Linked DNA regions of Cricetulus griseus. The protein of the gene in region 1 binds, or shares a complex with, the protein of each later gene. Links are inferred from orthologs where the notes say so. Each region holds a gene or a part of one and is shown in the gene's direction. Other genes may lie near its edges.

What was found.
Region 2: Sf3b3 (region 1) and Smu1 share a complex: the UniProt entries of both Homo sapiens proteins name them as parts of the spliceosome B complex. The link is inferred for Cricetulus griseus from reciprocal best matches to the Homo sapiens genes SF3B3 and SMU1.
Region 3: Sf3b3 (region 1) and Sf3a1 share a complex: the UniProt entries of both Homo sapiens proteins name them as parts of the 17S U2 SnRNP complex. The link is inferred for Cricetulus griseus from reciprocal best matches to the Homo sapiens genes SF3B3 and SF3A1.
Region 4: the proteins of Sf3b3 (region 1) and Phf5a are in contact, whole or in part, in a crystal structure (PDB 7B91), measured with the Homo sapiens proteins. The link is inferred for Cricetulus griseus from reciprocal best matches to the Homo sapiens genes SF3B3 and PHF5A. Residues at the interface, in NP_036558.3 of Homo sapiens: Gly85, Arg86, Gln104, Glu105, Thr106, Phe107, Gly108, Lys109, Ser110, Leu140, Ile154, Ser155, Ser156, Pro157, Glu159, Ser1162; in NP_116147.1 of Homo sapiens: Gln14, Ala15, Gly16, Val17, Arg44, Asp47, Glu79, Asp81, Arg82, Asp83.
Region 5: Sf3b3 (region 1) and Ik share a complex: the UniProt entries of both Homo sapiens proteins name them as parts of the spliceosome B complex. The link is inferred for Cricetulus griseus from reciprocal best matches to the Homo sapiens genes SF3B3 and IK.
Region 6: Sf3b3 (region 1) and Sf3b4 share a complex: the UniProt entries of both Homo sapiens proteins name them as parts of the SF3B subcomplex of the 17S U2 SnRNP complex. The link is inferred for Cricetulus griseus from reciprocal best matches to the Homo sapiens genes SF3B3 and SF3B4.
Region 7: Sf3b3 (region 1) and Sf3a2 share a complex: the UniProt entries of both Homo sapiens proteins name them as parts of the 17S U2 SnRNP complex. The link is inferred for Cricetulus griseus from reciprocal best matches to the Homo sapiens genes SF3B3 and SF3A2.

What each region holds. Positions count from the first base shown.
Region 1 is NC_048596.1:187,226,287-187,229,786, reverse strand, and holds part of Sf3b3 (splicing factor 3B subunit 3), read left to right. Parts: intron 1-941; coding exon 942-1,037; intron 1,038-3,249; coding exon 3,250-3,322; intron 3,323-3,500. UniProt on the Homo sapiens protein: Component of the 17S U2 SnRNP complex of the spliceosome, a large ribonucleoprotein complex that removes introns from transcribed pre-mRNAs.
Region 2 is NC_048595.1:101,849,611-101,853,628, forward strand, and holds the start of Smu1 (WD40 repeat-containing protein SMU1), read left to right. Parts: upstream 1-1,218; coding exon 1,219-1,244; intron 1,245-2,757; coding exon 2,758-2,968; intron 2,969-4,018. UniProt on the Homo sapiens protein: Involved in pre-mRNA splicing as a component of the spliceosome. Regulates alternative splicing of the HSPG2 pre-mRNA. Required for normal accumulation of IK.
Region 3 is NW_023276807.1:100,723,356-100,726,855, reverse strand, and holds part of Sf3a1 (splicing factor 3A subunit 1), read left to right. Parts: intron 1-1,832; coding exon 1,833-2,040; intron 2,041-2,997; coding exon 2,998-3,255; intron 3,256-3,500. UniProt on the Homo sapiens protein: Component of the 17S U2 SnRNP complex of the spliceosome, a large ribonucleoprotein complex that removes introns from transcribed pre-mRNAs.
Region 4 is NC_048595.1:379,006,418-379,010,460, reverse strand, and holds the start of Phf5a (PHD finger-like domain-containing protein 5A), read left to right. Parts: upstream 1-1,243; 5' UTR 1,244-1,333; coding exon 1,334-1,385; intron 1,386-1,959; coding exon 1,960-1,983; intron 1,984-2,509; coding exon 2,510-2,676; intron 2,677-4,043. Other genes in the region: Aco2 (aconitate hydratase, mitochondrial), read right to left, coding at 564-599.
Region 5 is NC_048595.1:200,783,572-200,787,551, reverse strand, and holds the start of Ik (protein Red), read left to right. Parts: upstream 1-1,180; 5' UTR 1,181-1,324; coding exon 1,325-1,340; intron 1,341-2,139; coding exon 2,140-2,206; intron 2,207-3,980. Other genes in the region: Ndufa2 (NADH dehydrogenase [ubiquinone] 1 alpha subcomplex subunit 2), read right to left, coding at 707-813, 934-1,034. UniProt on the Homo sapiens protein: Involved in pre-mRNA splicing as a component of the spliceosome. Auxiliary spliceosomal protein that regulates selection of alternative splice sites in a small set of target pre-mRNA species. Required for normal mitotic cell cycle progression.
Region 6 is NW_023276806.1:60,350,896-60,354,988, reverse strand, and holds the start of Sf3b4 (splicing factor 3B subunit 4), read left to right. Parts: upstream 1-1,293; 5' UTR 1,294-1,417; coding exon 1,418-1,451; intron 1,452-1,836; coding exon 1,837-1,965; intron 1,966-2,212; coding exon 2,213-2,755; intron 2,756-3,002; coding exon 3,003-3,209; intron 3,210-4,093. UniProt on the Homo sapiens protein: Component of the 17S U2 SnRNP complex of the spliceosome, a large ribonucleoprotein complex that removes introns from transcribed pre-mRNAs.
Region 7 is NC_048598.1:101,580,251-101,584,350, forward strand, and holds the start of Sf3a2 (splicing factor 3A subunit 2), read left to right. Parts: upstream 1-1,300; 5' UTR 1,301-1,448; intron 1,449-3,809; 5' UTR 3,810-3,845; coding exon 3,846-3,971; intron 3,972-4,083; coding exon 4,084-4,100. Other genes in the region: Plekhj1 (pleckstrin homology domain-containing family J member 1), read right to left, coding at 522-588, 662-729, 813-906. UniProt on the Homo sapiens protein: Component of the 17S U2 SnRNP complex of the spliceosome, a large ribonucleoprotein complex that removes introns from transcribed pre-mRNAs.

The sequences.
Region 1 (3,500 bases):
CCATCTTGTTATTAAATTGAAATGTGATCATTTAAAGTTTTCCTCAGGTTGAATTGTAGTCTTAACAAACAACTTGTCTGTGGAATCACTGCTGTGAAAAACTGGTAGTTAAAGGAGTTCAGGGCCTAAACCTATCAGTCTATGAGGGGTGTTTGTTTTGAGACTCTGTGTAGCTCAAGTCTAGTTGTGAACACACTATTCTACTGCCTCAGCCTCCTGAGTGCTGGGAGTACAGGGTTAAGCTGCCCTGCCTGACTAATTGTGTAAGATTGAAGTTCAAGACTGTCCTTGGTGCAATTACATATGAGTTGGCTAGCCATATCAAAAGCATATGTGTAGATATATAACTATTAATGGGTCTAATAAATTTTTGAAATAGTACTTAAGGTAATTGGAACACCTGTAAACTTATGTTAAAATTGTTTTTATGAGTGACAAAGTTATAATCAATGTAATTTGACTCTTTTAAGTGGAAGAAAACACTAATTTCAGATGCAGGTTATAACAAAACTTCATTTCACTAAATGTCAAAGTTCCTTTTTGACTTCTGAACAAATTACATAAGTGTTTGGTTTTTCTTGTTTTTTTTTTTTTGTTGTTGTTGTTGTTGGTGGTGTTTTGTTTTCGTTTTTTTTTGTTTTGTTTTGTTTTTCATGACAGGGTTTCTCTGCATTCCTTGCTGTCTTGGAACTCACTGTGTCAACCAGGCTCAGGCTGCTGGCTTCTTCCTGCCTCGGCCTTGTGAGTGCTGGGATTAAGTGTGCCACCGCCACCCAACAGTGTTTTGTGGGGTTTCGTTGTTTGTTTAATGTGGAACACTAGGGCCTTTTCTCTTATCCCAGTCAGTAGCCATTATATAACTTTAAACCAGAGAATAGTTTGTCCTTTCATAGTTGTATTTGAAAGCTTAGTACAATAGACATTTTCCCCTTGTTGTGCAGATAGCTGATCTGGCCAATGAAGATACTCCACAGCTGTATGTCGCCTGTGGTAGAGGACCCCGGTCATCGCTGAGAGTCTTAAGGCATGGACTTGAGGTAAGATGGGAATTTCTTGGTTCTCTTTATGATGTGAAAGGAAGGTCTGCACAGAACATTGTACAGGCTAACTTTGAGGAGGTCAAAGATAAACTACTGTTTTTATGAACAAATATGTACTTTCTCTTGTCCCTGAAGTTTATGGAGTTCAGATTACTTTTCCCTTACTAGTTCATTCCCTATGACATCTTAGCGGAAGTAAATAATATTTTCCATGACCATTTGAAGTTAGAGTTTGTGGTTGGCAAAGGTAGGTATTAAGATGACTGTCATCCTTTTTCTTTCCTTTTTTAAGATTTATTATGTATGCAGTGTTCTATCTACACATTTGCCTGCAGGCCAGAAGAGGGCATCAGATCTCATTATAGATTATTTTGAGCCACCATGTGGGTCCTGGAAATTGAACTCAGGACCTCTGGAAGAGCAGTTAATGTTTTTTTGGGGCGGGGGGCAGGTGGAGGCAGGGTTTCTCTGTGGCTTTGGGGGCTGTCCTGGAACTAGCTCTTGTAGACCAGGCTGGTCTCGAACTCACTGAGATCCACCTGCCTCTGCCTCCTGAGTGCTGGAATTAAAGGTGTGTGCCACCAACACCCGGCTTCAGTTAATGCTCTTAAACTATGAGCCATCTCTCCAGCTCCCCTGTTGTCTGTTTCTCATCAAATTTTGTTGAAATATTGCCAAGATGACCTTCGTTTTAAATATGGCTTTAGTAAATAGCAACTTTAAACTTTTGTTCTGTAAAATTCACTTAATGATGGCATTTGCCCTAATACATTGTTGTTTGGGTGAAACAGCTTAAGATATGACCTTAAAACTATAAAAGTGGAGGTGCATGTCCGTAACTTGAGCCACAGTAGTCAAAAGTAGAAAGATTTTTGAATTCAAGGCTAGTTTCATTATTTCACTAAGTTTTGAGTGGCCTTGATCAAATTTAGAACCAGTAGGCCTACCTGCTTGACTTTCCTTTTTCTTCTCTTCCTGTTATCCCCACCACCACACCCCACCACCACCACCACCCCTTTTGTTTTGTTTTGAGACAGGGTTTCTCTGTGTAGCCCTCCTGTCCTGGAACTTGTTCTGTGGACCTGGCTGGCATCAAACTCACAGAAATCCACCTGCCTTGCCTCCTGAACACTGGGATTAAAGGTGTGCGCCACTACCTGGCTTTCTTTTTGTTGTGTTTAAAGAAAAGGTCTCATTGTACCTAGGGCTGGCCCAGACAGAGCAGTCCCACTGTCCAAATCTGCATACCAGGAGCTGAAGTTCTCAATTACTTACTGCTCATTGGCTCCTAGTGTAGTGTAAGATAAAGGATTCCAGAGTTGCTTTTTAGTGCCTTGCCCTCTGTCCTTACAACTTTATAAGCAGAGCTTTTGTTGTATTTTGGAAATAGTTAAAAATAGTTATTGCTTTGTTCCTTCTTGTATACCTGTCTTACTTTTGACTATAGTCTTAATATGAAAAAAACCAAAAAAACCAAATTTTCTATTAGTTGAGTAGGATACTTGACACATAAGTTTTACTAATGAAGTTCTTATGTCTTAATGTTCTTGGAAACTGAAAAGGGTAGTGCCTTGTTCTTTCTATAAGTACAGTGTATGAAGCACTCTGTCTCTGAGTCATTTAATAATATTTAATAAACTTAGAATGGGTTTTTCAAAAAAATTCCAAAGGTAATAAATAATCTTTGAAGAGATATTATTTTTATCTTGTGAAAGTTAGAGAAAGCAATAAAATACTGATTTAGGTTGTTTCATTTGTTTCCAATGGTGCTTGTCTTTTGTTGTTGTTCTTGAGACAGAGTTTCTCTGTAGCTTTGGAGCCTGTCCTGGACCTTGCTCAGTAGACCAGGCTGGCCTTGAACTCACACAAATCCACCTCCCAAGTTCTGGGATTAAAGGTGTGTACCACCACTGCCTGATTTTTTTTTTCTTTTTTTTTTTTTAAGGATATAGGCATGGCATATTCAAAGGAAGCATATAGTTTGGTTGTAAACCTGTACCCTTCTGTATGTTCCATGCCTTTTTGCTGTCAAGGGATTGCCTGTGCCGTCAGTCTTTGGATTTTACATTCTTTTTTCACTAAGTGTTCCAGTTCTTTTAGTGCACTGTACAGGGTGAGGCCTTTGCCTTGGGATAGTGTCACCTAGCATAATATTAAGTAGTAGAGTTTCATGCTCACTGGATCTGTGGCTTGCCTGCTCTCCTTTTAGGTGTCAGAAATGGCTGTTTCTGAGCTCCCTGGTAACCCCAATGCTGTCTGGACAGTGCGTCGGCACATTGAAGGTAAGTGTCCCTTTCCTGGTAGTCAAGATGGGTCTTGGGAACCATTGCCATGGGAAATTTAGAAACTGCATTCATAATATGTCTGTATCGCTTCATTTAGTACCCCAGAAACTTCTGGCAAGACACACCTTTTTTTGAGGCTTCTTCTGATCAGGGTACCTTCATTTACTGCTGCTCT
Region 2 (4,018 bases), on another chromosome or scaffold:
CAGAATGAGTTCCAGGATAGCTTGGGTTACACAGAGAAACCTTAAAATAAAAGCTAAAAATAAGTAAATAAATAACCCAAATTAAGAAATAAAATACTTGATATCAGAAAACTAGAAAGTACTCTACCACTGAGCTAAATCCCCAACCCCTACTGCTTTTTAATTGTCCTGCGAAGTGGCAAGTTTCCTTAAGACATTTGTTCCTTTGCTGCAGAAAAAAAAAAGACAAAATAACAAAAAAGACCAAAACAAACAAACAAAAAACCAAAACAAAAGAAAACCACTCATTCATTACTATTAAAGACATAGTGAACGCAGGAGCTGCTTATATTTATATAAATAATAAATAAGCCTGAATATAAACATTATAATTGGAATTATAAAAATAAAATAAAATTATGGAAGACACTAAAGCCTTGTATTAAGTAATTATATAGAAAATTTATTTTTATAGGTAAAATAAAGAAGTAATTCTAGCTGAAGTAAAATAATATGACAGGGCCAGTGAGATGGCTCAGCAGGTAAAGGCACTTGCCACAAAATCTAACAAAGTTTGATCACTTGGATCCACATAGTGGAAGGAGAAAATGAACTCCTCTAAAATTATCTTCTGTCCTTTACATGTACATACACACACACACAAACACAAACACGCACAGTGCACACACTCATAAATAGATAAAATGTTTTTGTTTTGTTTTTGAGAGTAGATCAGATTGCCCTCGAACTCCCACGGTAATGGAATCAAGTGAGTACACGCCTTTAATCGCTGTACTAGGGAGGCGGAGGCACACTCCTTTAGCCCAACCCAGCGACAGGGTGGGACAGGAGGGCGGGGACAGCCAACCCCTATAAAAGAGACACCGTGCTTGCGTTAGCGTGCAGTCAGACCCCAGCCACAGCTCAGCGAGGGAAAAGGACTCCCAGCGCGAGCGAGCCGGTTCTCCGCCTCTGCCTGGTGGGTCCCGGGATCGAACTCAGTTCGCCAGGATCGGCGGCAGTCCCCTTGACTTTCTGAGCGGTCTCGCCAGCTCCAGACAGACTTTTGACAAGCACGCTAGGCCCCGTCCCTCACGCACTGCGCAACCTCTGCGCCTCCCTCATCGCCCTTAGAACTTCGTCGAGCGGCAGTGACGCGAGGCGGCCGCCGGAAGTGTCGCTAAGTGTTGTGCGACTCGGTCTGTACTGCGAGGGGCCTGGACCCGGAGCGATACCGCTATGTCGATCGAAATCGAGTCTTCCGAGTGAGTACTGCGGGGACTTGTCCCGGTGTGGTGTGGCGTAGGGTGGAGGGGGCTCGAGAGGACGTCCGAGGAGGCTGCGGCCTCGGTGGCCTGTCTCCTCTGTGTGCCCGCGGGAGAGCAGCCCTGGGGCGGGAAGCCCGGAGCCCCGCGGCCCGCTTGTGGGGCTGCAGAGGAACACGGGCAGACCTGACTGCTGTGCTTCCCTCTGCCCTCACTCAATGCTGTCCGTGTGCCACCAGCCCCCCAGGCCGCTTTTCTTTCGTCTTAGTCCATAAAGGCTCGGTTGCTTCTATTTGCTCAGTCCCAGTGTGGCGCCGAGTTTTGGTTTGCAGCTTGTAGATGGAGAACGTCGGCGTGGACAGACAGAATTTGAGTTTTGGGTCAGAAGAATGATGTTTAGGAAGACGGGGAAGGCTAGGAGCCGGGCAGGAGTGCAGTTACTGATTGCAGAGTCTTTCGTGGACTTCTCGAGGACTCCACCGCTGCCTCTTCTTGCTAACAAAAATGTGAATTAGCAGACGTTTGTGTTCGGAGTGCAAGGGAGATAGATCTGCCCTGAGATCTGCAGAAGAGGGAGGTTTATTAAATCCGCCGAGATTGAGACCCGCTGTGTATTTTTTAAGACTGGAAATCGGGTGTGGAGTGTGCACATCTATCATTGTAGCACTAAAGAGTCGAGTGGGAAGGTCTTGTCATTTTTTTTTTTTTAAAGGAACCAAGATTTCCTACAGCAATTTGGATGAATCTATCTATCTGTCTATCTGTCTGTCTATCTATCTATCTATTTTTATTTATTTGTCTTGTTTTTTTAAATGGACTAAGATTTTCTATAGCAATGTAGATGGCTTAATCTATTTACTTCTTTATTTAATAATTTAATTATTTAATGATTTAATCTAATTAATGACTATTTATTTGTTTTTTATTTGGCTGGTCATTGTTTTAAATGGACCAAGATCTACTGCATCAATGTAGATGACTACTTATTTAATAATTTAATCTATTTAACGATGTAAGCTACTTATTTAATGATTTTATTTATTTGGCTTGTCAATTTTTTAAAAAATGGATCAAGATTTGCTATAGCAATGTAGATGATTTTATCTATCTATCTGTCTGTCTATCTATGTATCTATGTCTGTCTGTCTATCTTATCTATCTGCCTCATAATTTTTTTAAATTTTGATTAAAGTTGAACATCCCTACCACCCGGTCAGATGCTTTAAAAAATACCATTGACTTGTAGGTTTAAAGTTTCTCACACAAATATCCAGTAAATTCAGTGATCAGAATTATAATGACTACCTAGTTGCTTTCTGAGTGTGAGACATTGGGCAAATGATTTCCCTTCTCTGATTTATAGTTTCCAAGTCCTTTGGAACCTTGATTCTGTGACTTTCGCAATTAAGTGGAAAGTGGGCAGTAAAAGGACTAAGTTGGTGAGTTAAAGGGTTAATTTGGCCTCTGGTGACTGGAGATCTCTGAAATGATGGTTTCCTTGCTTTCTTTTCAGTGTGATTCGTCTTATCATGCAGTACTTGAAGGAGAACAGTTTACATCGGGCATTGGCCACCTTGCAGGAGGAGACTACTGTCTCTCTTAATACTGTGGACAGCATTGAAAGTTTTGTGGCTGATATTAATAGTGGCCATTGGGACACTGTTTTACAGGCTATCCAGTCTCTGAAATTGCCAGACAAAACCCTTATTGATCTCTATGAACAGGTAAGAATGAAAAGTCTGTTATCCTGATGTTTGTGAGTTAGTCCCTTAATTGGGAAGTATCAGTGAGCCTTCCTTCAAATGCTCAAGGGATAATATATAAGTGACTGTAAAATATACATTGTCATGACTCAACAGTGTATTTTTTTTCCTTCCTTCTTGGAAGTATTAACCAAATTTAAATTATTTCTTGGTATGGTTTTGAGGCTGAAACCCAAGGAAACTGAATTAACTTTTTAGGTGGTCATAAAATAAGTATTCTCAAGTTGAGCATAATGGTTTGAGACCAGGTGGTCTACATAGTGAGTTCCAGGCCAGCCAAGGATATTTAGTGATATAATATAATGTGATTCAGCTAAGACACTGACCACCTGGAATTAGCACACATCGCTAAGTTTGACATAGATTTCCCTCACTTTATATACTAGCTGTACTGTGTTGGGGTGTGCTGTGACAGGGTGAGGGGGAGTGGGGAAGGGCTTAGTATGGCATTTTTAGACCATTTGAGCTTTTTTTCTTCTTTCTTTTTTTTTGTTTTCTTTTTTTGTTTTTTGTTTTTTGTTTTGTTTTTTGGCTGTCCTAGAACTAGTTTTATAGGTTGGCCTCAAACTACCTCCTCTGCTTCCAGAGCACTAGGATTGAAGGTGTGCCCCATCACTGCCTGACTTTAGGTCACTTAAGTTTTTGGTCAACTGACTAAATTTGGGGACTCATGTGACATGCTCAAATTTGATAATTTACTAGAATAATCCATAGAACTTAGAAAAGCTCTGTATTTATGTGATTACAGTCTTATTATTAAGGACACAGTTCAGAACTACCCAAAGGACAAGACAGAAAGAACTAAGTCTAAGAGACCCCTATGTAGAACTTTGGTTTTGTTTCAGTGGAATTGGGTTGTGCCTCCCACCTGGCAAATGACCAACCAGAGGGTTCTGTTGTACTGTTCAGCAGGGTTATGTAATAAAACACAATTTCCAGTCTTCATCTTCCACCTCCCCGTTGGTTCTTTGTCCCAGAGGTGGGGCTGGCTTAAAAACCTTAACCTATTAA
Region 3 (3,500 bases), on another chromosome or scaffold:
TGGATCTCCAGCATCCACATAAAAGTATAGTGTTGGGGATAAAGATAGGCAAATTCTTGGAGCCCACTGGCTGGTCAGCCTGTCTAACCATAGTGGTGAGCCCAGGCTCAGTACAAGACCCTGTCTCAAAAAAATAAGGTTGAAGATGATAGAGGAGGCTACCCAGTGTCAACCTCTGGTCTCCATGTGAGCACTAGTGAGGATACCCATGTGTACACACACACAGTCTCTCTCAGAAATTGTAAATAAAATCTGAACTTGCTTTTGCATGCTTGCACTGAGAGAGAGGATATTCAGGCAGTGGGTATCTACAACCAAATCTGACTATAAAGAACTTTTTCTCTGTAGGTAGGTCTTTCCAGTCCTGCATTTTCCTGTCAAAAAGCCAAATTGGAAATTACCTTTAAAAAGCCCCGCCAGCTGGGCTGAGTCAGAGTTAGGCTTTTCTGCTGAAATCCATTCCTTGTGTTGGAGGATCTAATTCTAAAATTAGTAGTAAGCCAACTTAGAGCACTGAAATTTCTTGGAATAAGTACATCTGCCTTCTCATTACATCTTTCTAACTGTTCCCTGATGTGTAGAGAGAGGCTGTGGCTTAGGCAGCATTGGAAGAGACATCCCCTCCCCCCTTTTCTAGAAGCCATTAGTCTCCCTGGGCATTTTCCAGGCATTATGACCTGATTTAAGAAGACCCAAATCTGTGTCCGTCTTGCTCTGTGTGGTTTAGTTTGCACAGGGTGGTAGGAAAGCACTTCTTTCCAAAGCATGAAGTTCTGGTTGGACTAACGCACAGTCAGTTGAGACCTCATGGTGTTAGTCAAGCTACAGGGTGTGAACAGAACTTGCTAGAGGATAGACCTTCTATTATAACATGAACTCTTCCCGCCAGCCTGGTCCCATAGCCACATCAACCGCAAATGAACACACAAGACTTATATTAATTATAAAGCTGTTGGCCGTTGGCTATGGTTTCTTTTTGTTTGTTTGTTTGTTCTTCAAGACAGGGTTTCTCTGTGGCTTTGGAGGCTGTCCTGGAACTAGCTCTTACAGACCAGGCTGGTCTCGAACTCACAGAGATCCACCTGCCTCTGCCTCCCAAGTGATGGAATTTAAGGCACGCGCCACCAATGCCTGGCTGGCTATGGTTTTTTATTGGTTAGCTCTGACTTAATTATTAACCCATAACTACTAATCTGTGTATTTCCTCATGGCCTTATCTTACCGGAGAAAGGTCCAGGGACTTGTTACTCCTCTGGCGTCTTACATGTCGACTGCTCAGCACAGAGAAGAGAAGAGAGTGATTTCCTGTTTGTCCTTGCTTATGTTCTGATTCTGCCCAGCTACATCACTTCCTGCCTGTCTGTAGTCTGTATAGACTGCCAGACCTCTATGGTTAGCTAGTGGCAAGCTCCATTCTCTGACTCCCAGACAGGCTTTATTTGTGCAAGAAAGATACACCACATTTTATAGTCTGTGTCATGGATGTCACAGATTGTTTTGAAGATTTATTTATTATATATACAGTGTTTTTCGCATATATTCTTGCACACCAGAAGAGGGTACCAGATCTCATTACAGATGGTTGTGATGTAGTTGCTGGGAATTGAACTCAGTACCTCTATAAGAGCAACCAATGCTCCTCTGGGTTATCGATGTCTCTAGCCCCTGTGGTGGCTGATCTTAACCATAAAGTCACCTTTACCTTGCCTTCTGCTCTGTTTAGCTGGTAGGGCCAGGGGTGTAAAAGATGTTGAAATGGATGGAGGTTTGAATTAAGTAGTCACAAAGGTTGTGATATTCATTATTTGGTGTGTTAATTTTTCTCCTCCCAGAAATGGCCCTGAATTTGAAGCCAGGATCCGACAGAATGAGATCAACAACCCCAAGTTCAACTTTTTAAATCCCAATGACCCTTACCATGCCTACTACCGCCACAAGGTCAGCGAGTTTAAGGAGGGGAAGGCTCAGGAACCCTCAGCTGCCATCCCCAAGGTCATGCAGCAGCAGCAGCAAGCCACTCAACAACAGCTGCCCCAGAAGGTTTGGAACCCATCTCCTCTTTGTGGGTTAAGGAGGACATAAGGTGGGTGGGCATATCTGCTGTCCACCGTCATAGCCACCATGGACAGAAGTAAAATTACCCTCATGTTCCAGAAGCATTGATGATACATAGCACTTTTTGATCACTGGTTGGTCAAGCTCTGTGCTCTGGGTTCAGATCATGAAAAGCCCAACAGAACAACTGTTTAATAGATGGCAAAGGTGAGGCTTGTCTAAATACGAAATATTAATTCAAGGAGTAAGAATTAGTTGTAGTATGAAAACAAATTATGACCTGGATGAGCTAAGGGAGATACTGTAGCCTTGTGCCATTTCTTCCCTTTCGTTTGTGCTGTTTGGGCCCAGGGGTGTTGCAGAACTAGGGACAGTCAAAAATGTCAATGAAGATGGAAAGTGCAGTTTGTCTACTTTGTAGACAAACTGGTCTCTTCATTTTGCACCATTCCCAGACTTTTGTGGGAAAAGCAGCCTTTTGTTTAGCCATAAGAAATAAAAGTTGAAGTCATGTTTAAAGACCTTGCATTTCAGTTGCTGCTTGTAGGGCCTGAGTTTCTCGTTTATAAAAAGCATTCATAGTATCTGTTCTGTCTGCTTCAAGGTTCTCTTGGAGGGCCTTGATGTACTTTATACGGTGGGATTCACCACACATACACATGCACATGGGCCTTGCAGATTAGTTAGATTTTATAGCCTATTTCCTGTATATTTTTGCCACCTCTTTAGGCCTTTGATTTCAGGATGGGATCAGAGATGTAGATACTTAAAACAGATTAGGGAGTTGAGGCATAGTTGGATGAGACACCAATGCTCTTGGTTGCCAGTCTTCTTATAGCAAGTCCCAGTGATGCTTACAATGAATAAAACATTGGAGTCTTTGGACATTCTGTGGAGTTAATTTACTTCTGTTCTGTTCTTGTTCTACACTTTCTGTCTTAGGTCCAAGCCCAGGTGATCCAAGAGACCATAGTACCAAAGGAGCCCCCTCCTGAGTTTGAGTTCATTGCTGATCCCCCCTCCATCTCAGCCTTCGACCTGGATGTAGTGAAGCTGACAGCTCAGTTTGTGGCCAGGAATGGACGCCAGTTTCTGACCCAGCTGATGCAAAAAGAGCAGCGAAACTACCAGTTTGACTTTCTCCGCCCACAGCACAGCCTCTTCAATTACTTCACAAAGCTGGTGGAGCAGTATACCAAGGTGCTGGGTCAGGGCAGAGGATAGTGTCTCACCACTGGGAGTACAGCATTCACTCTGTCAGCAAGGGCACTTGCTTTGTGGAGTATCTGGGGGAATGTGAATCCCAACTTAATGTAAAATCTTGACTCTGCGAGCTCGAGCGCGTGCGTGCGTGTGTGCGTGTGTAAGACTGCAGGTGCTTTTGTGCCTTGCCATGGAACACACTTGGAGTCAGAACAGTGTTCAGTTCTTTCCTTCTACTGAGG
Region 4 (4,043 bases), on another chromosome or scaffold:
GAGAGGAACCACTGTTATCATGACTATGGACTATACTGGTGCTCAGAATACTCTACCCTTCTTGCATCTATGACCCCAGGTGTCCTCAAAAGGTAGTATTGGGTATAGCTTCTGCAGACTCCAGGCCCGAGAACCACACATACAAACGGCTGGCAAATCTCTGCTGTTAATGGGAAGTGAGGGCTTCAAGCACCTGGCTTAGAGGAACCCACAACCACCGCGCCCCCCAGTAACCTTGTCATCACCTTGAGAACAGAAAACCACACTGGGGGGAGCGGGCAATTCGGCCCTCAGGAAATGAGGGGTGCCCTCATCCTTTATCACACTGCGGATGCTTAGACTCAAGCTTCCCGCTGGGCGGGGACGGGGACTGGGCCTGGGAACTGACTGTGCCAGGGACACCTTGACCTAGGACAAGGCAGGAGCGGACAAGGACGCTGGGCCTGCAACCGGGACAGGTTCGCAAAAGTCAGCCCCAGGTTGAGCCCGCCTCGCGTGGCCTCGCCTACCGCCGCAGGCAGAGCTCCCCGCCCCCGTGAACCCACACATCGGAGCTCGCTCACCTGCAGCCGGGTCACCAGGAGGCTGTAAGGCGCCATTTTGTGCACTGACAAAGATGAGGTCGCGTGAAAGTGACGTGCCACAGGGCGCTTTTGAAGTGCTTGGGAAGGGGCGTGGCCTCCAAAGCGGCGCGTCACGGTGAGGGTGGGGCCTTCCTCCTCGGAGCCGGAGTCCAGAGAGCGCAGTGGGCGGGGCTTCCATGACGGGCACAGCGCGAGAAAGAAACTGCCAGCTTGTCAGTCTTTGCACTTGGGGACGGAGACGGCAGCGGAGCCAGGAGTTCAAGGTCATCCTTCACGCCTTGAGACTCAAAAGGGAACCCCCAGACCACATATTTTGCGGAAGCATGCGTGAGGCCCTGGCCTCAGCCCCGAGCACAAAAAGTACCATGTGTACAAAAGTTTTTTGCGAGACAGGTCTGGCTGGCCTCGAACTCAGAGATCCGCCTCCCGAGTGCTGGGACTAAAGGCGTGTGCTACCACCAACCAGCCATATGTAGGAATTTTATCCAAGACAAAAACACTTAGTTTATTCGTTCAAATCGGGAGGGAACAAAAACTTTATTATAAAGTCTTTGATGCACCTGCTAGGGGTCCAGCAAGTTCACGCTGAGAAAACTCGCGAGAACTAGCGAGATTTGGTGCAACGAAGGGCAAAAGCTGATGGGCACCTTGACGGCCAATCACGATGGAGAAGTGGGTGTAGGAACGGCGTAGGTTAAAGGTCGAGCGGAAGTTCTCTAAGCTTCCGGCCGCCGGCTTGGGGACGAGTGATGGCTAAACACCATCCAGATTTGATTTTCTGCCGCAAGCAGGCTGGTGTTGGTGAGTTGGCTCGCCGCTCCCTTCCGTTGGAGTGGGATGGTGTTAGAAACGGGAGAGTGGGGGGTTCGCTTCCTCTTTAGGGCCTGGCCTTGGGGGCTCCACGTTTCGCGCCTTGCGGTCCCTGGGTATTCTGGGGGTGCGCCCAGGTTTGTGACTTGTGATAAGAAGGCAGGATCGCGCGTCTGGGAGCCTGAAACTGGGGGCAGCGTCTGCGCTAGGTCTGGAGAAGCCGTCCCAGGTTGCTTTGAGGATTCCGGACAGGGCGCTGGTGCAAAGCAAAACTTAGGGGCTTAGGCCGGGCGTGGTAGTTCACGACTGTAATCCCAGCGCCTGGGAGGCTGAAGGCAGAAGATTGCTGGGGGTTCGAGGCCGACCTGAACTACATAAGAAGTTCCAGGCTATAAAACGGGAATCTGTTGGGAGGAGGGGCGTGGAGAGGGGAAAAAAAAGGATAATAAGACAGCTATTCTGCTCACTGTAGTCATTGCTACCTGCCCCATCCTCTATCCCAGCTTTGAGGAACAACTTCCTTGCTAAATCACCATTTTGATTTTAACTGTGTTTTTTCTTGCAGCTATCGGAAGACTGTGTGAAAAATGTGAGTGGAACATACCCTCTCACACATTGCCTTCTTTCTTTGTTTTTTGACGAGCCAACAAGCCATTTATTCCAGAGGAGCCCTAAAGAAGCATTGAGTGGATATGCCAGACTGCAAAGAACACTGAATCTCTGACTACAACCAAAGGCTCCCCACCAGACTCCCACTTTAGCTTGCATACTTTAATATTTCATACTTAGGTTGTGGGGGAAAAATACTTTTGGACAGTAAGAACTATCAGAGTAGTGTGAACCTTCCCAGGCCAATGTTTGTGCAAGAAGGCATGCAATTTGTTGATGATAACTACATAGACTTAAAAGCTCCTAGCTAACACGTCAAAACTCTTCCCATTTATATTTTGAAGGAAACTGAGGTAGATGGTAGATATAAGATAGGGTGGATGCTGTCAAGATAGAGAAAAGGCCTGAAGTCACAGTCAAAGGGAGACTGGTTATTTCACCCATAGAATAAAGATCTTTAGGAAGTAATCACTAGTGAATATAACTCCATTCCTCTTCCTTTGCAGGTGATGGCAAATGTGTGATTTGTGACTCCTATGTGCGACCCTGCACCCTGGTTCGCATATGTGATGAGTGTAACTATGGATCTTACCAGGGCCGGTGTGTGATCTGTGGAGGCCCCGGAGTCTCCGATGCCTACTATTGTAAAGAATGCACCATTCAGGAGAAGGATGTGAGTGTAGACTTGAGCATTCCCTCCTGGCCTTTCTTCCTTTTTCTTTGGACCATTTTGCCATCCATGTCCATCTCTTCTGGTCTATGGAGACTGCAATGTTCAGCTAGTCATGTAGGTAGAGGTTATTATCATCCTCCTTTTATACTCTGTCCCAGGCTATCTGACTAAATCTGGTGTCCACATTACATCATGTTATGCTTCTCTAAGACCTTCTTGGTGTGTGCTCATGATGAAGAGAGCACCCAGCCTCCTCAGCACTCCACATGTGGATGCTACCTACCACCAGTACCCGAAGCCAGATAGGGCTTTAAGGAGGGAGGGGGGTTGTTCTACGTGGTGCGGAAGGTGATCTATGATAGCTGCATTTTCAGTTTTGATTGACTTTATCATCAAATCTCAAATCGGGTCTTACCACATCCAGCAGATATTGATTGGGGAAGCCACATTTAGGCATTAGCTAGAGTTCCCAACTGAGAGCTTTTTCTCCATGGATGAGCTCCAGGCTTTTCTTACTGCCTGCATGCAGTTTATGCCACAGGACATACAAATGATTCCTGTTGGGTATATCCTCACTGTTCTCAGTGCTGCAGAGTTTGGTTGTGTTTGGTTTGGTTGAATTTCTTTGTTACATCTATTTGTGTGGGTGCATGTGGTATTAAGAGGACAGCTTGCCTGGAGTTGGTCCCACACACACACACACACACTAGTGAGTATTTTGGCCCACTAATACTTTTATGTGCTTACTGTTTTTCCCTGTCCTTCTTAGAGAACCAGATTGGTGCTTGGCCCAGAATGGAGTTTTAGAGCAGCTGAAAAGTATTGTTTACTCTGTTGAATCCACTATTGTTTGGGAAAAGGGGAATGTTGTTGATTAAGTATGAAATCATAATTTCAGTTGGTGGTTTGAACATTCTCCTGCCCTAAATGCTCTTTCCAATTCTTTAGACAACCAGAACTCGATTGTATTCTGTCTTCCACAGCTGTGGATTATGTCCTCCATCTTTCCTTTTTCTCGGGTCTTGGTAATAGTGCCTAATCTGTAATACAAGGATGGTGCTCTCTTTTTGGTACTGTGCCTATAAAGTGTTCCTGGGAGACACTCCCCACCCTGGGCATTTGTTATTTAGGAACTGGGAAGTACTGGGTGTAATGGAAAGAGGAGGGACACACAGTTCTCAAGCTAAAGGGTCCCTGAAGAGACAACACTTTCTTGAGCTTTCAGAAATGTCTAGAGTCTGTTTCTGACTTAAGCTTGGAACCAGAGGATGCTTGCTAAACAGTAATTGCCATCTCACTTGTCTGCATGCGCCCTGTGATCTGATACCTTTGGATCCCTGCCCCTCATTCTGCTCCCTGAGAATTAT
Region 5 (3,980 bases), on another chromosome or scaffold:
GGCTTGAACTCACTATAGCCTCAGATAGTCCCTGAGTTTGTGATTCTCCTGCCTCTGCCTGGGAGGATCTGTAGCTGGGATTCACAGTATGGTTCAGGAATGCCTTTTTTGAGACAGTAATAATAAAGGTTAGATGCAAGTTATAACCTGGATGATGGGAGCCAATTGTATTAACAGTTCACTATAAGAAAGGGGCACAAAACGTAAAAGCTCAACCCTGTTCTATTCTAGCTATATAATTTTTGGCTGATTCTATGTTTAAGTTTTCTAGTATCTACGAAAGAAAGCACCCATTCATAACATTAATGAAGACTAATGGGAATGAGTAAGGTACACAGCACAAGCCCTAGACATGAAGTGCTCAACGTTATTGAAATTCTCAGTCCCTGAATTTGCACTGACTAAGGCATAATTCGGAAGGACCTACATTGTCACGGAGAAGCATGTTTTACCTGAAGTCCCCTCTGAACTGCAAAAACTAGTGGTTCGTACAAGATCCAGTCAGACTCCATATATATGTTGTCAGTTATAAAAAGCATCACACAACTAGGTAAATGTGAATCTCATCATCGGAAGTTCGAGTTTTGGTCCTCAGCCGGGCTTTCCCACGACGGTTGGGAAGCACCCCGCCCCCCCGCCTTGTTTTCTTTTTTGTCTAACCCGTATTCCGTGACCCGGGTCCCTGCCTCCGGTAGTCAGTACTCACCGTAGCGGGCCCACAGCTTGGGCTGCACCTCCGAACATTCGCGGATTAGAATGGGAAGGCCGGGGTGCGCTTTCTTCAGATCCACGTAACGTTGCTGGATGAAATCCCTGTAGGGCCGGGGAGACCGACGCTAGTGCTACGGGCACTGACCCCTCCCCCCCGAAGGTCAAGGTCATAACTCCAGCTTCCGAAGCCCACTCGCCTCCCCACGCCACGCCTCACCTCACCTCACACCCTGGCTGCCCGGCGAACGCTGACATAAGTGGATGCGAATCTCACGCAGCGCCAGCTTGGTACCGATCACTCGTCTAGCAGCGGCGGCCGCCATCTTTGCTAACACAGAGGCGCCCAATCACGACTCTTCACCCACCCATCGGACCAATAACAGGTCCTCTAGTCTCCTCCCCCCGATTGGATGACGAAGGAGGGGCGGGGTAAATCTCGCCAATGACTTGAGGCCTTTTTAGCGGCTGTGAGGTGAGACGCTAAGGAAGCCGGAAGGCCCGGAACGCAAAGCACTGGGGCAAGTTTTCGCGGTGCACTGTGGGAAGAAGCTTGTCGCTGTTGTTTTGTAGAGGAGATTTTCACGATTGCCGGCTTTGAGAGACCGCGGCCAAAATGCCAGAGCGAGATAGTAAGTCAACCACTGTTTTGTGCCCGCCGGACTAGAGATTTAGGCCAGGTGCTAGGTACAGATGGAGCCGCGCCAACCATTGGTCGTCAGGAGAGGCCCGGACAGCCCAGCTGCAGCCCCTGAGTTTCGTACCTAGGTTGAGGAGCGGCGTTTTGAATTTGTGAGGCAGACCCACCTCCCTACCCTCTCCTGAGTAAATAAACCCTGGCTGTGCTTCCTTTTCGGGGACTTGGTTTGTTTATCTGACACGGGAGGGGAGGAATTCGTCAGGTAAACCTCAAAAGTCCCGAGTATTTGGGATTGCCGGATGCTGGGCTCTTTCGTGTAGTAGTTTAGAAGCCATCTCTTGAAAAAAAGTTTTTGATTCTCCACTTCGTTTAAGAAAACCATCTTCATAATTTTTTTTTTTGAACAAGTGAGACGGAATCTCGAACCTAGGCGGTTTTCAAATTCTTGATCTCTTTCTCTACCTCTCAAGTGCTGGGGTGATAGCCTCAGGCCACCACAAACATCCCTTTCCCTCTTTTTTTTTTTTTTTTTTTTTTTTTTCGAGACAGGGTTTCTCTGTGTAGCTTTGGAGCCGGTCCTGGCACTCGCTCTGGAGACCAGGCTGGCCTCCAACTCACAGAGATCCACCTGCCTCTGCCTCCTGAGTGCTGGGATTAAAGGTGTGCGCAGCCACTGCCCCGCCTGCTGCACCTCTTGTCTTCTCTTCTGTTCGTTTTTATAATTGCCAGTTTGTGCATGGAACCTCACACATTTAACGACTGATAATGTAATGTCAATTTTTCTTTTTAAGGTGAGCCCTTTTCTAACCCTTTGGCTCCAGATGGCCACGATGTGGATGATCCTCATTCCTTCCACCAGTGAGTATTTTGTCTTTGAACCACAGAATGAGTTGAGTAATGAGCAGGAGGGATGGTAGAGATAGTGAAGGAATTCTGAATATTTTGTTGGCAAGAATGGTCAAAAAGTTCATAGGATGTGGTTTATTGAAAGGAAAACGCTAATCTGTACAACATGCTGTATTTTCCCACAGAAAGCTTTATCATAAGTTCACTTACCTTACCAAGATATGTAGTTTTGCTTAATTTTGTTAAGTTATACAGAATGATTGCATTGCTTTGGGTGTCTGTTTTTTAGTAAAGTTGTGCTTATGAACCAAAAAAAGAAGTTTGGACCATTTATCTCTGTGAACATTGTGAATCATGTACACTACATAAGAGTATTAGAAGAGAAATTATTAGAAGAGTCTGGTGTTTGTGTTGCTGTGATATATATATATATATAATAAATTTTTTTTCCTGGTGAAAACTAAGCGTTGGAAATGAGAGTAAAATCGTCTTTTTTTACCTCATATTATTACTTGGAGTGTGTGAGTGGGTGCACATGTGGAGGTCAAAGGACAACTGTAGGTTGTCTTCATCCTCCACCTTGTTTTGAGATAGGGCATTTTTTGTTCATTTCGGGCAGCCAGATAGGTAGTTCTGTAAGCGTCTGGTAATTCTTCTGTTTCTGTCTGGTGATAAGGCTTGTGCTAAGATTACAGACACTTTTATTACTGTGCCCAGCTCCTATGTGGGTTCTGTAGACCTGAACTTAAGTAGTTAGGCTTGCATTCAAGCACATCTCTCTCCCCAGCCCTCTTTTTTTTTTTTTTCCTAGAGATAGATTCACACTTTATCCCAAACTGGCATGGAACTTGTGGCCTTCCTCCTCCCTCAAGTTTCCTGAGTGCTGAGATTGCAGGCATTAACTACCGTATCTTCTTTTTTTAAATTTTTATTTATTTGAAAGAGACTTCAATCTGATCATCCTCCTGTCTCAGCCTCTCAAGTGCTGAGGCATGTGCTCCTGTACAATAATCCAAGACACCTCCCTTCTCCCCCCCCCACATTTTTTTTTTTGTTTTGTTTTGTTTTTTGGTAATACTGAAGATTGAATCTAGGGCCTTATACATGAGCTAGGCCCTTGTCCTTTAGATACAGCCCAGGTTTGCTTCAAATTAGCAGTCCTTTTGCCTCGTTTCCAGCATTTGCCACCACTGTGCCGCCATGACCAGCAAGTCTCATTTTTGACTAAGCCTTGTCCTTTGTTGTAAAGTTTTAGTAAAGAACTAAGCCCCCACTCCAGCATTCCTGCAACTGTATGAGAGTATCCATGTTTTGCCGAGTATTAGTGGCGCAAGCCTTTAATCCCAGCACTCAGGAGGCAGAGGCAGGCGGATCTCTTTGAGTTCAAGACCAGCCTGATCTACAGAGCTAGTTCCAGGACAGCCTCCAAAGCCACACAGAAACCCTGTCTTGAAAAACCAAAAAAAAAAAAAAAAGAGAGAGAGTATCCATGTTCTAAAATTTCAATCACATTTGATTTGATAAAACTTTTAAGCTAGATGGTGGTGATGAACATCTTTAATCCCAGTACCTGGGAGGCAGAGGCAGGCAAATCTTGAGTTTGACGCCCACCTGGTCTACAGAGTGAATTCCAGGACAGCCAGGGTTACACAGAGAAATTCTGTCTTGAAAAATCAAAAAACAAACAAAATCTAACTTCTATGTGTTGAAAGTGGCATGTCTGCTTTCATTTGTGTTTCCCTTGTTTTAGTAAAGTTAACTGTGTGTTTTAAAGGTCTCTTTTCTG
Region 6 (4,093 bases), on another chromosome or scaffold:
CTTCAGGAACTATTAAGAAAACTGACACCAAGAATATCTCCTGAGGATCACTGCAAGAAGAGAGATCCAAATACCATCCTCTCTCAGATCCGTTGAGACTGCTAGCATTCTCGAAGGCAGGGCAGAGGGAATGTGGAGGGAGTTCTGCTCATGTTTCTTTGTATCTGACCTCAGTGTTTCAAGCTTTCACATTCCAGCCCATAAAGGAGCTCACTCCGTGAGTGAGTTTCTGTAGCAGACATGGAGCTACCAACCTCCAGCTATTTTTGTTTCTCTGGAATAAGAAACAAAACCACTTCAGAACGTTTCCTTTTTTTCTCTGGCAATTCCATGCCGTTTAGATGACAAACTGTCAAAACTGTGAGATCAGAGACACTTCATCAGTTCCAACAAGATGCCCCAGAGACTTCATTCTCAACCCCTCACACTGCTTTGAAATCCAGTTTCTTAGTCTTCTGTGGGAATGAGGGAAATAAGGGAGACACCCTGTCCTCCCACTGTATATTTTTGTAGTGGTATTTCTATTTAAGGACTTCATTAAAGCACAGTATTTCTACACATTGCTGGTATTGTTTCTTGTGTTGAATGAAGATCTCGGTAAAGTGGTTGGGGGAGGGTATGCACTGAGAGAAAAGCACCCAGATTATTGATACAGAAATTAAGGACCCAGTTCGAGGCCAGCCTGGTCTACAAGAGCGAGTTCCAGGACAGCCTCCAAAGCCACAGGGAAACCCTGTCTCGAGAAACAAAACAAATAGATAAAAAAGAAGTTAAGGACCCAAAACAGGAGGGGCTATTCCGACGAAATTTGGAGAAAGAAGCACCAACCCCTTTTTTTTTTTTTTTTTTTTTTTTTGAGACAGGGTTTCTCTGTGTAGCCCTGGCTGTCCTGGCCCGGGAGGAAGGCTCTCTGAGTGTCTCTTCTGTGGGAGGGGAGGGATGCACGGTGCTGCCGAGTGCTCCCGAGGCTGAGACTGACCGTGAACACACGCGGCACCGTGCCTCAGATGACCCCACGAATAGTGGGGCTCAGACACTTCCGTCTGCACTGAGGTAACAGGCTGCGTCCCGAGGCAGCCGGCCCGCCCCTCCCTCCCCCCAGCACGCTTCTCTGCGTCACAGAACATACAAGGCTGAGATTAGGGCTTAAATTTGGGCTGGGGAGCAGCGGGACTGCCTGACAGGCGAGAGCCGCGTCGTCAAGAGGGGCCTGAGCGCCTCGGCGCCAGCCGGGCGTCGTGAGAGCTCCACCACAGCGTCTTTCCAGACACGCGTCAGACGCCTAAGATGGCCGCGGCCACTTCCGGCTCCTCCCCTGCCGCCCGCCCCGCCCAATGGGAGCCTTGGCCCGGAAGTGGAAGTCGTAACAGGTCAGAGGGCGGTGCTGCCGCTTAGAGACGGCGGGAGCCTCTTCGCCATGGCTGCCGGGCCCATCTCCGAACGGAATCAGGGTAATTGGGGGAGAAGAGCCCAAGGTGGGCCCAGGGAGGTGGAGGGCAGATGAGTGCTAGAAGCGTTAGCGCCAGCGTGGGAAACTAGGTTTCCCCGGGAAGGCCCGCGTCTGGGGGCTGGGCCTGGGGGCCGGGTTGAGGCCGAGGCCTGTGAGGGTGATGCCTCTGGATCCGGTTCCCGTAGGCACTCCCGCTGCTACCAAGCGCATCATTGAAACTCCACCGGGAAGTACACAATCCGCAAGAACGCCACATTAGACTTGAGCGGGTTTTTTTATACTAGGCAGGCAAAGGGTGATCTCAGGGTTTTAGTTACTTTTTTTTTAAATTTCTGTTTTCCTTTTAACTCGTGACCTCGTCCTTACCTTCTGCTTTCTTGCTTTAGATGCCACGGTGTACGTGGGCGGTCTAGACGAGAAAGTGAGCGAACCACTGCTGTGGGAGCTCTTTCTCCAGGCAGGGCCGGTGGTCAACACCCACATGCCAAAGGATAGAGTCACTGGCCAGCACCAAGGTGAGTATTTACGGCAAGAAATGACTTTACTTTGGGTTAGCGGCCCCTGAAGCATCTCAACACTAGTCACAGCTATTTTGGAATGGTTTCTTTCTCTAAGCTTCAGTTGGCAGTTTGTTTCAGGAGTAGTCTCTTAGCTTTAGTTTGAAGTTGGGATTCTTCCAACTTGTTCTTTGTTTGGAGGCTGGTGAGTTAGTGTGTCGTTTTGAATCTCTTCATCTGAGTAGTCTTTTCTTCAATTCCCCAGGCTATGGCTTCGTTGAATTCTTGAGTGAGGAAGATGCTGACTATGCTATTAAAATTATGAACATGATCAAACTCTATGGGAAGCCCATACGGGTGAACAAGGCTTCAGCTCACAACAAAAACCTGGATGTAGGGGCCAACATTTTCATTGGGAACCTGGACCCAGAAATCGATGAGAAGCTGCTTTATGATACTTTCAGCGCCTTTGGGGTCATCTTACAAACCCCCAAGATTATGCGGGACCCTGACACAGGCAACTCTAAGGGTTATGCCTTCATTAATTTTGCCTCCTTTGATGCTTCGGATGCAGCAATTGAGGCCATGAATGGGCAGTACCTGTGTAACAGACCCATCACTGTGTCTTACGCCTTCAAGAAGGACTCTAAAGGCGAGCGCCATGGCTCAGCAGCTGAACGACTTCTGGCAGCCCAGAACCCGCTGTCCCAGGCTGACCGTCCTCACCAGCTGTTCGCAGATGCACCCCCTCCACCCTCTGCCCCCAATCCTGTGGTTTCATCCCTGGGTTCTGGGCTTCCTCCACCAGGTAAAGCTTTTAGTTCAAACTACACCAGTGAGAGGCCCTTGGGAGGGAGGGTCAGAAGGCAGAAGAAACCCTGAGGGAGTAAGCTGTTAACTCAGCGGGCAGCGAGAAAGGGATGAGGAGTGCTGGTGGAAGGGATGCAGATGTTGGGTTTCTTTGGGAGACTGGAGTTTAGTGTGCTGGAAGGAAGCTAGAGCTCTGTAAGACAGTCTTTCTTTCTTCACAAGATAGACTCTCGTTTCTTGTATAGGCATGCCTCCTCCTGGCTCCTTCCCACCTCCAGTGCCGCCACCTGGAGCCCTCCCTCCTGGGATACCCCCAGCCATGCCCCCACCACCTATGCCACCTGGGGCTGGAGGACATGGCCCCCCAGCAGCAGGAACTCCAGGAGCTGGGCATCCTGGTCACGGACACTCACATCCTCACCCATTCCCACCAGGTGGGATGCCCCATCCAGGTAAGTGGTCTGCTGGGAAACGGAGATGAGCTTGTGAGAGTGATTCTGTCACTGCTCTTTGTCTTGGGTGGAAATAGTCTAGAGTCTCCCTTTCCTTCAGAAAATACTTCTGTGTGTACTTCAGCTCCCTCCCGTCTTGTCTCTGGTTTTTCCTTTTTCTGCAGAATAGCCTGTTCTTACTGTTTTTACTCTCAGCCTCTCCTCTGATTCCCAGGAAGGAGCTCAGTTGCCAGATCTAGGCGACATTTTTGCTTATTTTTTTTTGTTGTTGTTTTGTTTTAGGGATAAGGTCTCTCTGTGTAGGATCCTGACTGTCCTGCAACTCATTCTGTAGACCAGGCTGGCCCTGAACTCAGAGATCTGCCTGCCTCTGTCTCCCAAGTGCTGGGTTTAAAGGTGGCACTACCACTGGGCAGCCGTTTCTGCTTTTTGTTTTTGTTTTTCGAGACAGGGTTTCTCTGTGTAGTTTTGGAGCCTATCCTGGCACTGGCTCTGTAGACCAGGCTGGCCTCGAGCTCACAGAGATCCTCCTGCCTTTGCCTCCCGAGTGCTGGGATTAAAGGCGTGCACCACCAACGCCTGGCCTGTTTCTGCTTCTTAACCACTACTATACACATGACGAGCTATGCATGTATTAAACTGTTTCCTCTATGTGACTTATCAACCTCAGCAACCTGGGTCAGCCCCCTTTTTTGTCTGTGTAGATTTTGTGCTTTGTTCTTCTTCCAGTGTTTATTTGTAGTGTTAAATGTGCAGGTACTGATTCCTTCTGTCTCTAGTCCATGGTTCTTGACAGGCTAGACAAGGCTGCTGCTCAACCCACAGTTCACTTTTCTCCTTCCAGCATCTCCTTCTACAGCCCTTGTTTGTAGCAGCTAAGTTCA
Region 7 (4,100 bases), on another chromosome or scaffold:
TCTGATCTTAGGGGCATGCTCGATCACACACAAATACACGTATGTGTACATATTGATGTATTGTTTTAAGGGAGAGGTGAAGACATCAGAAATTGACATCTGGCCTCAATATACACGTGCAAGAAGCAGAAATTAAGGGTAGTGATGGAGAACCCCGTGATGATGGAGGAAGACATGAGGGCCAAATGTCTACAGGACGGTACTGTAAAGATCACCAAGGAAGAAGGCTGAATCAGATGTCACTTCAAAACCTCAGAAGCCCTGCCGGCGGGAGGAACTGTTTATGCCACACCAACAAAGTCTGCGCAGGCTGCTCATATCCCTGCCGTGAACAGGTACTGAAGGCGGGGAAGAAACTATGGTCGCACCAGCGGGGACCAGACCCGGGGGCAATTTGACAGCTGATGCAGCGCTGGGCCCCGGAAACTCGGGATCCAGGACAAACGGAGGTTGGGGCGGGGGTGGGGAGGGGTGTGCGGAGCAGAGTCCGGAGTGGGGACTGTGGGGACCGGCGCACTTACTGATGGAGAAGCCGCCGGGCTCTTCCTGGGCCACTCTGCAGCGCTCCAGCAACAGGGCTCCGAGGGGCTGCGCGAGACACGGCCATGAGCGCCGGCCGGCTCCGGGCCGCGCGGGCCCCCCGAGCCCCCCACGCCCCTACCTCGGCCTCGTCCGGGCGGAAGTAGAAGAGGAAGTTGACGACCAGCTTCACCAGCCGCCTCTTGGCCACTGCGGACACGGGGCGGTGTCAGCGGGAACTGTCCTCCTCCGCCCCCCGGGGAGGTGCCCAGCCGCGGCCCCGGCTCGCTCACCGCTGCCCTTCTTGGGGCCCCGCATGCCCAGCTCGGCCGCCATCTCCGCCGGCTGACGGGACAGCGCCTGCAACTCCTTCTCGTTGTACCGCATCACGCCGTGGGGACCCGCGCGAACCGGAGGGCGCCCTGCCTCTCGGCCGCCGTCCGCTCGGAAGGTGCGCTCAGCACCACAAAAGTCTCAGGGAACATTCCCGGAAGTCCCAGCAGAGCTACTGCGCCTGCGCGCCGGGGCGCTAGCGTGTCTGCGGGCGCAGTTGCTCGCAGAGTCAGAAAGGAAGGAAGTCGCCCGTCCTAGGTAACTGTCAAACACACTAAACGTGAGGTATCAAGCTAGATCCGTAGCACCCCCTGTCAAGCGAAGCGCGTTCCGAGGCTGCTGAGACATAACGATTTCGTCCTGTCGCGATACTCAGCGAGAGTTCGTGAATAACTCAGTGCGCGTGCGCACTTCGGACTCCGGCGCTCCTTTCACTCGCGCCTCTTTAAACCGAGTCCATCTTCTGGGCATGCGCACAACCGAAACTCCGCCTTATTTTCCCCCGGAAGTGACTGCTTAGTCCGGCCTGCGCGTGCGCACAGCGAAATCGTGGGCCTCGCGGACGTTACGCCTGGGCTGCGCGGCCTTTGGCGCCGGTGAGGTGTTACTCGGCTTGTTGGTGGAAGCTACCCCGGCTTTGGTGTCTCGGAAGGGGGTCGGAAGCAGCAGCGAGGGCGCGGGGCTGGACGGAAGGGCCGGCCGGCGGGCGGCGCGGCGGCGCTCGCGCGGCCCAGTGGCCGCGGCGGCATCGCGGGCTTCCGTGGCGCGTCTGCGGCCCCCAGCGTGCCCCGGTTCCTGAGGGTCTTTTGAGCTCCTTGATTGCCTCAGCTTTCCTCGTCGTTAGTCAGGGCCCTGGCGACTGCTGCTGCCGCCCACCCGAGCCGGTCCTTTGCTGGGACTGGAAGATAACGGTATTTCCATCCCAGGCCGTCTCCTTCTCAGACAGCACTTCGTTTCCCTGTCTCGTTTGTCGGTGATCTTATGGTGGTCCGTGAGGTAGCTCGTCTCCATCCATCCGTTCTCCCTCCTGCCCCACGCCTCACTTGTGAGCGCATCCAGGCGTTGGCAGAACTTCTATTTCAGACAGTGTCTCCCTGCCCAATTCTGGCCGACCAGGAACTCTTACCTCACACACATCGCGGTGCCTCTGCCTCCGGACGACTGGGATTAACAGCATATGCCGCCGCACCTGGCTGTTTAATTTGGAAGGGTTTATTACCGCTGACAGTAGGAGTGCAATTCAGTTTGGTGGGGAAGTTTTGTCCCAGGAGCTTGAGGCAGCTGTAGTCAGGAAGCAGAAAGATAAGTGCTGGTGTTCGCATTGCTTTCCCCGTGTTTCTTTTTCCGGGACTATCTTTTCTTCGTGTGTATGTGTGTCTGTGCATGTGAATGAGTCCAGATCCACTGGAGCTTGAGTTTCGGGTGGTTGTCAGTTGCCCAGTTTGAGTGCTAGAAACTGAACTTGGATCCTCTGGAAGGACACCAAATGCTTTTAAGACAAGATTTTACTGTGCAGCCCAGGCTGGCCTCCAACTCGGGTGTCTTCCTACCTTGGCCTCCCAAGACAAGAGCTGATGTGAAAGGTGTTTGCCACCATGCCCACCACAATTGCTAGTGTTTCCCGAGGTTGAAAATGTCACAGGCTGGGAAAGGTAGCTCAGTGGTGAGATTTTGCAAGACTCTGCTCCTACCCCAGAACCAAGGCGCATGCTCACCCAAGCTAGTTTTGTCCTGGGTTTTCTTGTTTTTTTTTTTTTTTTAGCCTCTCCAAAACAGATGAATTGCATTTTTCATTTAGTGGGTGCCCACACCCCTACACGTGAAAGCAAGACTCTAGGGGCCTTGAGTTGTACCCTCAAGCCTGTGGCTGGCTGGACACCAGAAGTCAGAGTAGGTTTTCATGCTGTCACTGCTCCAGGTACCCTCTTGTTCTGGGAAGCCTGCGGCCAGCCTTGGACTCTGCTCTTGCATCTGGCCAACTTCATCTGTGGGTCTGTGTCTCCTGGTAGCTTTCGAAGGTATAGGCAGTGCTTTTCTTTTTCAGTCCTGTGTGGCTGAGCATGAAACAGACCAGACAGGCTGGTCCTGCCCACAGACAGCTTCAGTACACATGAATGCTCTCAGCCATCCCAGCGTCTTAAGGCCCATGTGTCCCTTGGCTTTTGCCCCTTCCTCCTCCAGAGTCAACAGCCAGCGACCTCACTGTGTCTCTGCCCTGAGTCCTTCTGACTCCATGGTGACACTACCTGGCCCTCGGAGTTTTTGATATCATTTTCAAAATTCCTTTTGCTGTATGAGGCTCCAACAATGATGACAAGGACTGCCCTCCACTTGTCTCCTGGACATGTCCCTGAGTTTACCTCTGGGTTTAAACCAAGGCCCTGGGGCAGACAATGAGCAGTCTAAAGTGTTCTTCCTAGTGGACAACATTCAGGACTTGGAAGACTAGGAAAAAACATAATCCTTGTGTGTCAGATGGGTGTGTGAGGTCTTTTAATCCCAACACTTGATGGATCTCTGAGGACAGCCAGGTCTACTTAAAGAGACCCCCCCCCCCATCTTAATATGACACAGCAGGCAAAGGTGGCTCATACCTGCAGTCACTTGGGAGGATCAGGAGTTTAAAGGACAACCCAGGCTACATGAGACTCTGCCTGTCCCCCACCTACCTCATAACCAAAGACAGATATAATGGCACACCCCTGTAATTTCAGTGCTTACGGGGACCAGGAGTTAAACTAGCCTGAGCTACACAGTGAGTTTACAGCTAGCTTTGGTTACGTGAGACTTGAAAAAAATGACACTAGCCTAGGGTCTTGGGCTGGTTGCTTCTCCACCAATCCACATTCACTCTAAGGGTAAGGTGGAATCCAATCTGGAACATAGAAGGCAAGGGAAGGCCTGCTTGCTGCATGAATGTGTGCTGTTCTGAATCTGTTGCCCTTTTGTTCCTCCAGGTTTCTGTGTGTCCCTGAAGCTTCCAGGCCTTCACCATGGACTTCCAGCACAGACCTGGAGGCAAGACTGGGAGTGGGGGCGTGGCCTCCTCCTCTGAGAGCAACCGGGACCGCAGGGAACGCCTGCGACAGCTGGCCTTAGAAACCATTGACATCAACAAGGTGGGGGGGTACCTACAGTAGGGGTGTGGAGGGAGCAGTGTCCCCACACCTACAGACCCAGGTTCATGGGGCCAGGCTCTGCGATCTAATGGGTACATATGTTCCCTCCAAGGACCCATATTTCATGAA